Rattus norvegicus: one gene and its partners. The protein of the gene in region 1 binds, or shares a complex with, the protein of each later gene. Links are inferred from orthologs where the notes say so. Each region holds a gene or a part of one and is shown on either strand. Other genes may lie near its edges.

Region 1 (3,747 bases):
AGCTCATAACCAACCATTAACAGGAGGAATGTACTAAGCTGTTAGCAACATCCACAAGGATTGCTTTTTAAAATGTGGAATGTTTTGACCTAATCCATTCCTCTTGCTCCTTGTCACTGTGAAATAAAATCTACTTACACTGCCTTTCATTATTTTTGATTGTCTATAAATTACCCATTTCGGTCGAGGGTGGATGGTACATGTCTATAATCCCAACACTTGGGAAGTAGGAACAACAGGGTCAAGAGTTCAAGGTTGCACCAGGGTGGGGGGACACTGGGGGATTGCTGCCCTCTCAGAGGCGAATAGGGGGAGGAATTCTTTCAGGAGCGGGACTGGGAGGGGACAGCATTGGGGATGTAAACAAACAAACAAACAAACAAAAGAGTTCAAAGTAATCTTTAGCTATGTAGTACATGTAAGGCCAGCTAATGCTACATGAGTCCCCGTGTTTTTTTGTTTTTGTTTTTGTTTTTGTTTTTTTTTTAAATGGTGCCTGGAGAGATGCTCTACAATTAAGAGAACTTAGTTTTAATTCCAAGCACTCACATGGTGGCTCAAAAACTACATTTTCAGGAGATCTAATGCCCTCCCCCGGATTCAGAGTGGTATACATACTTGCAAGTAAGACGTTTATATATATAACCTTCCACTCTGCCCCTTCAAATAGAAGGGCTGGAGGTATGATTCAGTGATTAAGAGCACTTTCTGCTCTCTTAGAAGACTCGTGTTTGATTCTCAGCACCTGTGTCAGGCAGGTCACAACCACAAGTAACTCCAGCTTCAGAGAGACAGGTGTCAGAAGAGGCCTGAGGTGGTAGATCTTCCTGGAACTGTTTGTCCTAACCCAAGTGGTTGTTTGTGAAGAATCTGAGTGCTGGGAGTCGAACTCGAGTTTGCTGAGCTGTCTCTCCGGCCCCTTATTATATATCTTGTTTTCCTAAACCTGGTTTGAACTCCTTTTATCCCTGGCTGTAGAAACTAGTTAGTCAACACAGACTTGTATTAGCACCGGCTCACATACCATTAGGTGGCGACAGAGAGCTCGGGCAAGGCTGTGCACGAAAGCCTCTTCCCAGAAGCATCAGGAAAGAGGCTGCGCAATTTGAACCTGCCCAGCCACCGTCGAGCCCTGGCCGGAAGAATGCGATTCCTTCCGGGTTTCGCGGTCCTGGGAGACGGTGTAGAACTACCCAATCTTGCACTGTGGACGAGGTGTCTATACCGCAGCCAGTGCGAGGCCGTGGCACCTCAGGCCTCTTCTGGCCCCGCCGCAGTCCTGGCCGTTCCGCGGTTGCTTGCCCAGAGCGAGACGCGTCGCCATGGCGACGCCGGCGGGACTGGAGCGGTGGGTGCAGGAGGAGCTGCACTCGGTGCTGGGGCTGAGCGAGCGGCACGTCGCGCAGTTCCTGATCGGCACGGCGCAGCGCTGCGCCTCCGCCGAGGAGTTTGTGCAGCGCTTGCGTGACACAGAGACCCTGGACCTCGGCGGGCCGGCGCGGGACTTCGCGCTGAAGCTCTGGAGCAAGGTGTGTGCCGCCGGGGCAGTCCACTCACAGCCAAATTGGCCCGTACGCTTATCCTTTTGTTTTGAGACGCAGTGTGCCTGCAACTTTCGATATAGCACACAGGCTGGCTTCGAACTTGCAGCGAGCCTCCCTAGTACTGGGATGACAGAGAGACCCACCGTCCTTGGTTTTGTTATTTAGGTATCATGCTAGGTGCTGGGCGTACAGGTCTGTGGAGAAGACTCAAGAGAGAGGGATTTACATACATTTTTTAAGCTAGAGCGCTTGTTAGTTACAGTACATAACTCCAGACCTAAGGATGTAGCACAGTTGGTAGAATGCTTGTCTAGCACACTGTAAGCCTTGGGTTCAATCCCCAGCCCCGGGAAAGAGTCACTGGGAAGAACAGAACTATGAGAATTAGCATTTAAGAAATAGGATGGAGACTGCTCAGCAGTTAAGAACCCTTAAGACGGGGCTGGGGATTTAGCTCAGTGGTAGAGCGCTTACCTAGGAATCGCAAGGCCCTGGGTTCGGTCCCCAGCTCCGAAAAAAAGAACCAAAAAAAAAAAAAAAAAAACCCTTAAGACACACAGAAAGACAGACAGACAAAAACAAAACGCTTGTTGCGCATCTGGAAGACTTGAGTTCAGTTCTTAGCAACCAGGCCTAGTGACACACAACCAGTAATCTCAGCTCCAGGTCCAAGTACCTGTACACATAAATAAATGAAAAATAAATCTTAAAAGGAAAATGGGGGGTTGGGGACTTAGCTCAGCGGTAGAGCGCTTGCCTAGCAAGGGCAAGGCCCTGGGTTCGGTCCCCAGCTCCGAAAAAAAGAAAAAAGAAAAAAAAAAAGGAAAATGGATTATAGAGTATAAACTACTTAAGCTCAGAACCAATTCTTTAAAAAAAAAAAAATTCTATCGTGGGACTGGAAAGATGGCTCAGGGATTAAGATCACTAGCTGTGAACCCAGGTTCAATTTCCAGTGCTCACATGGCAGCTTGCAACCGTAACTCCGGTTCCATGAGATCTAACACCCTCACACAGCACATATTGCAGGCAGAACGCCAACGCACACAGAAACAAAAGTAAATCATTAAAATTAGGAAAAGGTTCTGTTTCGTGTATACGCCGCCAGCGTGTGGCTGTGAGAGCATAACCTGTGAGTGTTTCTCCTCTTCCCTCCACCACAGGGTAGTGTTCAGTAATCATTTGCTAAATAGGCTCCTGGAAGGAGGTTCAGAAGCTGCGACCATGGGACCAAACCATGTAGAAGAGAAAGGTGGAGACAGGCTTAAGATAAAGTAATCCCTTTGTAGGCAAATGAGGGTACCGGGGAGGTCAGGAGCTGTCATATCTACTGGCAGGTGCCACGGAAGGCCGTGGTTGAAAAGCCAGCTCGTGCAGCTGAGCGAGAGGCCCGAGCCCTGCTGGAGAAGAACCGATCTTATAAATTGTTGGAGGACAGCGAGAGCGGAGAGGAAGCAGTGGCCAGGGACGGGAGCAGCCTCCAGAAGAAGCGGAAGAGACGGAAACACCTGAGGAAGAAACAGCAGGAGGAGGAGGAGGAGGAGGAGGAAGCCTCTGAGTCAGGGAAGAGGAAGACAGGGTAAGTGAGAAGGAAGGAGAGAGGGGGGATTGGAGCATGCTTTTGGCTGTGGGATGCTAAGCCCTCTCGATACCCCACTTTGATGACGCACTGGGCTGGGTTCAGGGGCAGTAAATCACCCACGGAGGAGAAGCCAGCCTCAGAGGATGAGTGGGAGAGAACAGAACGTGAGCGTCTCCAGGACTTGGAGGAACGGGATGCCTTTGCAGAGCGGGTTCGGCAACGAGACAAGGACCGGACCCGGAATGTTCTGGAGCGGTCAGATAAGAAGGTGAGTTGGGTAAACCTGGATTTGGCTGCAGAGTTTTCTCTGGGAAGACAAGAGTTGTCACCAGGGCTCCTGTGGGCTCTCTGGCTAAAGCCCTCCCTGCACGGTTGAGATCCACAGAGGTTCTTCACAGAGGAGGGGCACTGAAGGGCACTTGTCATCCTGACAGGAACGGTATCCTTGGCCTCACATCCCTCTACATGATTTCTTCTAGGCTTATGAAGAGGCTCAGAAGCGCCTCAAGATGGCTGAGGAAGACCGGAAAGCCATGGTGAGAACCCCAGGTTAAGAAAGCAGTATCTGGGGGTTGGGGATTTAGCTCAGTGGTAGAGCGCTTGCCTAGGAAGTGCAAGGCC
Region 2 (3,747 bases), on another chromosome or scaffold:
AGGGAGGGAGGGAAAGAGAGAGAGAGAGAGAGTAGAGGCAAGCCATGAGCATGTGGAGAGGGAAGGGAGAGGAATGAGGAGAGAGGGGGAGCAGGAGCAAGAGAACAGAGCAAGAGAGAGAGGAGGGGGCAAGCAGCCGCTTTTATAGTCAGTTTGGCACACCTAGCTGTTGCCAAGTAACTGTGGGACAGAGTTTAGAGTAAATGCTAACAGCTGTTGTCCTCGTAAACAAAGCAACTCGTCAAACCATCACTGATGGGGAAAAAGTACAATAGGCCCCTTCCTCCCCTGCTGAGCCATCTCTCTAGCCCTGCCTCTGAAATTCTTGTCCCAAACTTATAACCTCAGACTAATAGCGAAAAGTTAACACAACAAGCTTTATTGGCGTTATGTTCTTCAAAATAACTGAGCTATATTTTTAAAAATCAGTAAAGACGGGGTTGGGGATTTAGCTCAGTGGTAGAGCGCTTGCCTAGCAAGCGCAAGGCCCTGGGTTCGGTCCCCAGCTCCGAAAAAAAAAAAAAAAGAAAAAAAAGAAAAATCAGTAAAGACAAAGACTAAAAAACTAGCACTAAAGACTACAGAAGACAAAGGAGGCATACAATTATATTGCAGTGTATGAGATATCAAAACTGGATCCTAGAAGGAAAAAATGCTTAATTAACAGAATCGCACCCAGGGATAGGGGTGTGGCTCAGTGATTAAAAAGAAGCAACATTATACAAATGTTCATCTCCTGTTTTGGATAATTTATAACACTGTTATGGAAAATCTGTAATGTTATCTTGGTCAAAAAATATGGGGGCTAAGTATGAACAGTTGTGCTGCTCTGGCTGGGGGAAAAAAGCAACTGAGTCAAGCAAAGAGGCTTCAACCCAGAAGGTCCTGGCTCTTCATGCCAAAAACCAGAAGACACTGCCTCATCCAAAAGCTCAAAAGGGTTAGAAAAGTGCAACATAGAGATTATGTGTAACAAAGGCACTTTACAAGAAAGCATAAGAAACTGGGGAATGGGAGAGAAAAAAAGAAATTAAAGGAATACAGATTAATGGTACAGTGCTTCCCTAGACGAGGCCCTAAGTTAAATTATTAGCACTGCAAACTGAACCACATCCCAGGTACAATCCTGGTTTTTCACCTTATTGACACTTTCTACATCAGTAAGATTCACATTGTGGAAAAGCACATTAAATTATGTGCTTGTCAAATACAAGATTTATTTATTTTGTTTTGTATATATAAATATTTTGCCTGTATGTACATCGTGTGCGTACATGTCGGAAGAGGGTAGAACTGAATTCCTAACGGTTTAATACCCAGGAATAACCTAATCAATCTTCCACCGCGACTACACCACTAAGAACTACATTTCCCGGAATGCTTAGTACGGCACCTTACTATGACGTTTAAAGAGTTCCCAAGCTCTAATTCCTGTTTCCCACGGCTTCAAGGCACCTGTTCTTGAGGCGTTGCATTCTGGGATAGATTCTGGCGTTCCTGGGCGGCCCTTAAGGTACTAGAGTTAAACTTCCCAGCAGGCAGAGCGCTCGCCTGGGACTCGAGCCAAGATGGCGGGCCGTGAGAGTCCGCCACCGGCTGCCGCGTCCACAGCTCCGATTTCTTTCGGTTTCACTCGCACATCTGTCCGGAGGCGACTGGCAGACCTCGGAGACAGCGAAGGACAGGCCCCAGAGAAGAAAGATTTCTTGGCGACTGTGGAAGGGAGGGAGCTGCAGAGGTGAAACGCCGGGTCTTTTCACGTCTTAGAAATCGGTGAAATGGGCTTAAGCGGGAGGGCAGAGTAAGGTGAAACGCCGGGTCTTTTCACGTTTTAGAAATCGGTGAAATGGGCTTAAGCGGGAGGGCAGAGTAAGAGAAATTTATGCTGGTGACAGTGGCCTGGAAAGCCTGAAACAGCTTCGGGAAATTTATGGAGGTAACCAGGAGTGGCGGCAAATGCCTGTAAGTCAAGACCTGGGAGGCTGGCGCAGGAGGATCAAGAATTGAACGCCAACCTGGGCAATTTGAGAGCCTATATTAAAAAAAAAAAAAAACAAAGAAATTACTAAAATAAGGGCAAGAAGAGGGAGGTTTGTTATGTGGATGAAATGGGGCTTGAGAATCAGAGATATAAATTCCTCAGAGAAAAAGTCGTGTGCCTTTTAAGAAAGGGAAAGGAGGGAGAATGACAGGATTCTTCCTGTCTCAACTGAAATGGTGGGTGCTTCTCCGATTTGAAGAATGAGGCAAAGTCAAGTTTTGGGAGGCCATCATCAGTATAATTAAGAAAGGAAGATCCTAGAGGCCTAAGTGGGGGACTTCTAAACGGCAGTTTATGGGCCTGGAACTAAGAAGCTAGACTAAAGGTGGTGAGTTGTAGGTCATTATGCTTTAAGGCCTAAGAATGATTTGCACAAGACACATTTAAAGCTGGGACCCCGGAGAGAAATGATACATTTGTATTGGTTGTATTTCCAGCACTAGGAAGTTGTACCAGGTTGACTGAGAGTTTATAAGACCAGCATGGGATGCATCGTGAGATGTCTCAAAAAAGATGAGTGGACCTTTAATAGTAACCTGTGGAACATGGTCCATAGGGCTAGGCATTGATATTTATTTTGTTTGTTTGTTTCTTTCTGGCCATTGTTTATTTTCTTTGTTTCTTGATATTTTTACTTTATTTAGAGGGGGTGTCAAGACAGGGTCTCTCCATGTAGACCAGGCTGGCCTTGAACTCAGGGATCCTCCTGCTTCTGCCTCCTGAGTGCTGCTGGGATTAAAGGCATGCATTACCACTACCCGGCTGATATTTCTACTTTCTAATATGTCTACAACCCTTTTTCTCTATCCACATCAGTGTGAACCCTCCAGAAGCTCCAAAGGAGCTGGTTATCCCATTGATCCAGAATGGCTCTCGCAGGCAACTGCTGTCCAAGAACCCTAAGCCCTCAGAAACAAGCACCGTGTTGACGTCAGATGGTGTGTTGTCCCAGGCTGTGAAGGAACTCATTGAGGGTGAGTGAAAACCTTCCTCTTTGCTCTGCCCTAGTGCAGATAGAAGGGGAAGAAGTTGGAAGGATAGGGTATGGCCTCATTGATCCCTCCCATTCTTCCTTAGAATCCAAGAAGTCTCTGGAGGAGAGGGAGAATGCAGGTGTTGACCCCACGCTCACTATCCCCATGATCCAGAAAGGATGTACTCCCATTGGGGAAGGAACATACAGCGAACCTCAGGCTGAGACAGTGAGCTGTCCCTTTGCCTCCCTCCTACACTATTCCTTCTACCCTGTCTGCCTAGTCTCCTTGCACATAGCAGGGAAAGTGTGTGTGCATGTCCCAAAGCCCTGCCAATTAGCCTTTCCTCCTTCCACCCTTATTAGAAGCATTAACAAAACAGAAAGCAGGGTGTTTAAAAATGTACGTGAATGCTGGGATTATCTGAATGAGGTAGACAACAAAGTGGACAGGAAATACAAATGCCATGAGGGTGTACACTGTTTGGAACCACATTTGTCTGTTTCCTCTTTCTTTTTTCTTTGTTCTGATTTTAGCCTGCAGTGTTTGAGGAGCACTAAGGAAACCTATTACTGGATTGGAATGAATGGGGAGGGAGTGGGCAGTAGATGAAGGCAGAGGGGGCCAGATTAGAAAGGGCATTCTGACCCACAGAGCAGACTTTTGTCTTTTACTATGAGTGGAGTGAGAGCTAAGGGGAAGTCTTGAGCAGACAGGGTTAGAACAGGGTCC
Region 3 (3,747 bases), on another chromosome or scaffold:
CTTGTTGACAGGCTTGGACTTCTTCTTGCCCTTGCCGCTCTTGGGGACCTCAGTCCACATCTCCTTCACATTTTCCAGCACCATGTTGCAGTGCCTGATGGGGTAAAGGGTGGAGGAAAAAGCCAGAGTGAGGGGGACATTCTGAATGTGTGAACCCTCCAGCAGCAGGCATAGGGACGGAGTTCAGGTTCCACAGTGGGGATGGGCAGGCTTCAAGGTGTGATCTCAGCCCCATCTTAAGTGTCCCTTCTGTGCCTCAGTTTCCCCCTTCTTGAAATGGAAACAGTCTACTTCATGGGGCTGATGTGAAGATTGGATGAAAGAAGCACTTAGGACCCCGGTACACAGTAAAGGTCACCAAAATGGCCCTGGCTCTGCAGTTAACTCTAACTCTGAGAGAAGCATTAGCTCCCTCCAAACCTTAAGTTCTGGGGTTAGACATGGTTCCCAACACGTGCACTCCAGTGCCTCATGGCCCTGTCCTCATGCAGGTGGACATGTGCTCACACTTGGATCAGTTCATTCCACGAATGCTTGCTTGAGGACAGTGACGATGAGCAAAGTACAATGCCAGATGTGTAGGACCACGTCACAAGGCAACTTCCATGCTAACTAAAACAAGGCAGGAGGGTATGCTTCGCCCCTGTAATCCTAGCGCTTGGGAGATGGTAGCAAGAGGATCAGAAGCATAAGGTTAGCCTCTGCTACATCTGTAGCCAGCCCAGGCTACATAGTTAAAGACCCTGCCTCAAAACAAACTAGAAAGCAGTAGAAGATATTTGACATTGATGTCTGGCCTACAGAGGAACAAACCAAACATCTTAATTCCTGTCCCTCCTCCTGCCGGGGATCTGATGACTTCTGAAGGTATTAGACATGTCCACAGTACACAGACAGACTCACCCGCAGACAAAACGCCCAAACACATAAGATAAAAAAAAAAAAGCCAAGCACCCCCACTTTCTAATTTTTTGAGCTAGCTGGGTCTTGCCCTGTGACCCTGGCTGGCTCCAACTGACAGTGATCCCCTTGAGTGCTGAGACTAAAGGCACTTTGTCACCTTGCCCACCTTATTACGACAATTCTTCTCAAATGACCTTCCCCAAGACAATGCCCACCTGTCAAAGGCCTTCACCCGGCCCAGGAGCTTCTTGTTGTTTCGACAGTTAATGAGCACTTGCGTGTTGTTTTTGACCGACTGTGTGAGCACCGAGAGGGGACCTGTGTTGAATTCCTCCTCCTCCCGCTTCTGCAGCTCCTCTGGGGTCATCTCACTCTTGGGTTTATTGAGGAGACTCCTGGATAGAGAACCCGGGGGGTGAGACGGGTTCAGGTTGGAAGCATAAGTGACCAAAGCTACATTGTCCAGTGTCTCCCCAGCCTGGCCCCCAAATGCCCTTCCTGGTACAGTCTTCTCTGGAGGCAGGAGAGACATTTCCAAGTTAGCCTGCTCCAGCTCATTAACCAAACCTCGTCCAGCCACTGTTGACCTTGAATTCTCAATTCTCCTGACTCCATCACCCAAGGTCTGAGATTACAGGGGGCTCACCATCATGCCTGGCACCTGATTCTTTCAAACCTCACTCTGTCGTCTTATCTTGTCATCTGCTTCCATGATATGTCCAAAAATTTGGCCATTTCTCTTCCATCCCACCCCACAACAGTGTCTCCCTGTATAAATAGACCTGCCCCTGGAACTCAGACTTGTCTGTCTCTGCCTCCAGGATACTGGGGTTACATCTAGTCTGTGTGTGGCTGAGGACCAAACCCAGGGCCCACAGTAGGTAAGTACTCTGTCCACTAAGCTAAATCCCCAGCCCAAGTATTGGGCTTTCAATGCCCAATACTTCTGTGCTACCTACTGGTGTTATTTCTTTCCTACTCAATTCTCCATTCACACTCCTGATCATCTAAGACATACTGTATGTACTTGTTTATTACTCTATGGCTTTCCTATTGGATTCTTTTTATAAGCCCTGAGAGATTTTTTTTCCTTGGTAGCAAGGACCTTCTATTTACCATGTGTCTAACTTACAGTCTACATAATATCCGCTCAATGAATAAACCATTGTAGTAGCCTGCTACTCTGACAATCTCTAATTAGGTTCAAAAGTCCTAATTTATCCTGGTTAAGTCCCATACGTCTCTATTTACTATTTCTAATAGTACTTCCTTCTCCGCCAAGCTCTTCATCCATTAAGACCACTTCTATATAAAATTACTATTACTTTTGTAAGCGGACACGCTATGAAGCTGGTCAAGGCTGACCACCAACTAGCGATACTCCTGACTCAGCCTCTCTAGGCTTGGGATTCTAGGCATGTGCCATCAGACTCAGTTTTTCCTTTACGGTTCATTTCCGCAAGCCTCGGTACCTAGAAGAGTCTTACACCCATTATGGAATAAAGCTGTCCCCTCTCCGGAACTCAAGAACCGAGGCCCCATGCCCGTTCTCAAATCCCTCAGAAGACATTATTTTTGCCCGAGAAACTCTACCCTCAGCTATGAGCACCCCATTTCGATTGTTATTTAGCTAAACCGTCCCCCTCCATCTTCGTGTCCCCGCCGAAGCCCGTCCCGGCCTCACATGGTGAAGGTTTCGCTAGCAGATCACTCCCGCCTCCAAGCGCGTTGCTTTAGCCTTTGGAGCACAGCAAGAGAAGGGCGGGACTTCCGTCTCCTGCGGCTGACTTCCGTCGACGCCTGCGCAATCACGACTGTGGGCGTGCCCTGTTACCATAGTGACTCTAAGGCTACGCTCTCCTGCAGAAAATGCCTATAGGGAGGATTTGAAGCCTCTGAGGATCACAATAGGTTGTCTGCTCATGCGGAAAATAAAACGGGGTCTGACTGAAATTGTTTTCCCGCCTAACTGTCTAGTTGGGAGAAGGAAAACGCAACCCGGTTTCCAAAATACCCGCCGACAATTTTCTTGAGGGCATGGCTTCAGGCAAACCAATCGGTTCCTTGTTTTAGGGATGGATGCCGCCCCTTTTTCCTTGAACCACAGTTTCTTGATCGACTTCCGTAAGGGGCGTGGCCCCGCGCCGGGGAAGGTTTCGTATATTCGGACACAGCTCATTGCCTGTTTCTCTCCCGTGGGGGCGGGCCTTAAGGTTTCCGCGCTCCCTTTTGGGTGGTGCGGCGCTTAGGAGAGCCAATCGCAATCGATTGGGGGAGGACGCAGTTACTGTGTTTCTTTATTGGCATTTGTAACCTCCGAGAGGCGAATCTTGGCCTAAACTCAAACCACCCTGCGGGGGGATTGGTTTCAGGGCAAAGCTGCCATGAGTCCGGCCAGCCGCGGGCGGTCTCGGCAGCGGCTCGGGGATCGCGGCCTCATGAAACCACCCTCACTTTCCAAGCGCCGTCTTCTGCCGCGGGTGCAGCTCCTGCCCCTGCTGCTGCTGGCGCTGGCCCTGGGCTTGGCTTTTTATATCGTCTGGAATAGCTGGCACCCTGGGGTTGAGGAGGTATCACGGAGCCGGGATCTGCGGGTAAGCCTTGGCTGGGGCCCAGCCAGCGTCATTTCCCTCTTTCCCTTCATATTGAGTCTCGGGTTAGCGTGGCCTTATCGTTTAGCCCTTGCCGCCTGTGCTATTTCTTTATCCATCACTTGAGCGTATGCCCCTTCCCAACAAAATAAGGTTTCAGGCTTGTTTTATGATTAGACCCCTCTGAAGAGGATGCATCCGCATAGAAACACTGGTAGATCTGAGCTCTGTGCCCAAACCATTTATTTAGAAG

What was found. Proteins that work in one complex are often made in the same cells at the same time.
Region 2: Dhx16 (region 1) and Gpkow share a complex: the UniProt entries of both Homo sapiens proteins name them as parts of the minor spliceosome. The link is inferred for Rattus norvegicus from reciprocal best matches to the Homo sapiens genes DHX16 and GPKOW.
Region 3: Dhx16 (region 1) and Snrpd2 share a complex: the UniProt entries of both Homo sapiens proteins name them as parts of the minor spliceosome. The link is inferred for Rattus norvegicus from reciprocal best matches to the Homo sapiens genes DHX16 and SNRPD2.

What each region holds. Positions count from the first base shown.
Region 1 is NC_086038.1:2,877,192-2,880,938, reverse strand, and holds the start of Dhx16 (pre-mRNA-splicing factor ATP-dependent RNA helicase DHX16), read left to right. Parts: upstream 1-1,187; 5' UTR 1,188-1,322; coding exon 1,323-1,529; intron 1,530-2,881; coding exon 2,882-3,123; intron 3,124-3,228; coding exon 3,229-3,394; intron 3,395-3,605; coding exon 3,606-3,662; intron 3,663-3,747. UniProt on the Homo sapiens protein: Required for pre-mRNA splicing as a component of the spliceosome. Contributes to pre-mRNA splicing after spliceosome formation and prior to the first transesterification reaction.
Region 2 is NC_086039.1:17,476,025-17,479,771, reverse strand, and holds the start of Gpkow (G-patch domain and KOW motifs-containing protein), read left to right. Parts: upstream 1-1,473; 5' UTR 1,474-1,568; coding exon 1,569-1,738; intron 1,739-2,857; coding exon 2,858-3,015; intron 3,016-3,118; coding exon 3,119-3,243; intron 3,244-3,747. UniProt on the Homo sapiens protein: RNA-binding protein involved in pre-mRNA splicing. As a component of the minor spliceosome, involved in the splicing of U12-type introns in pre-mRNAs.
Region 3 is NC_086019.1:87,925,325-87,929,071, reverse strand, and holds the start of Snrpd2 (small nuclear ribonucleoprotein Sm D2), read right to left. Parts: upstream 2,664-3,747; 5' UTR 2,590-2,663; coding exon 2,588-2,589; intron 1,299-2,587; coding exon 1,119-1,298; intron 95-1,118; coding exon 1-94. Other genes in the region: Qpctl (glutaminyl-peptide cyclotransferase-like protein), read left to right, coding at 3,288-3,497. UniProt on the Homo sapiens protein: Plays a role in pre-mRNA splicing as a core component of the spliceosomal U1, U2, U4 and U5 small nuclear ribonucleoproteins (snRNPs), the building blocks of the spliceosome.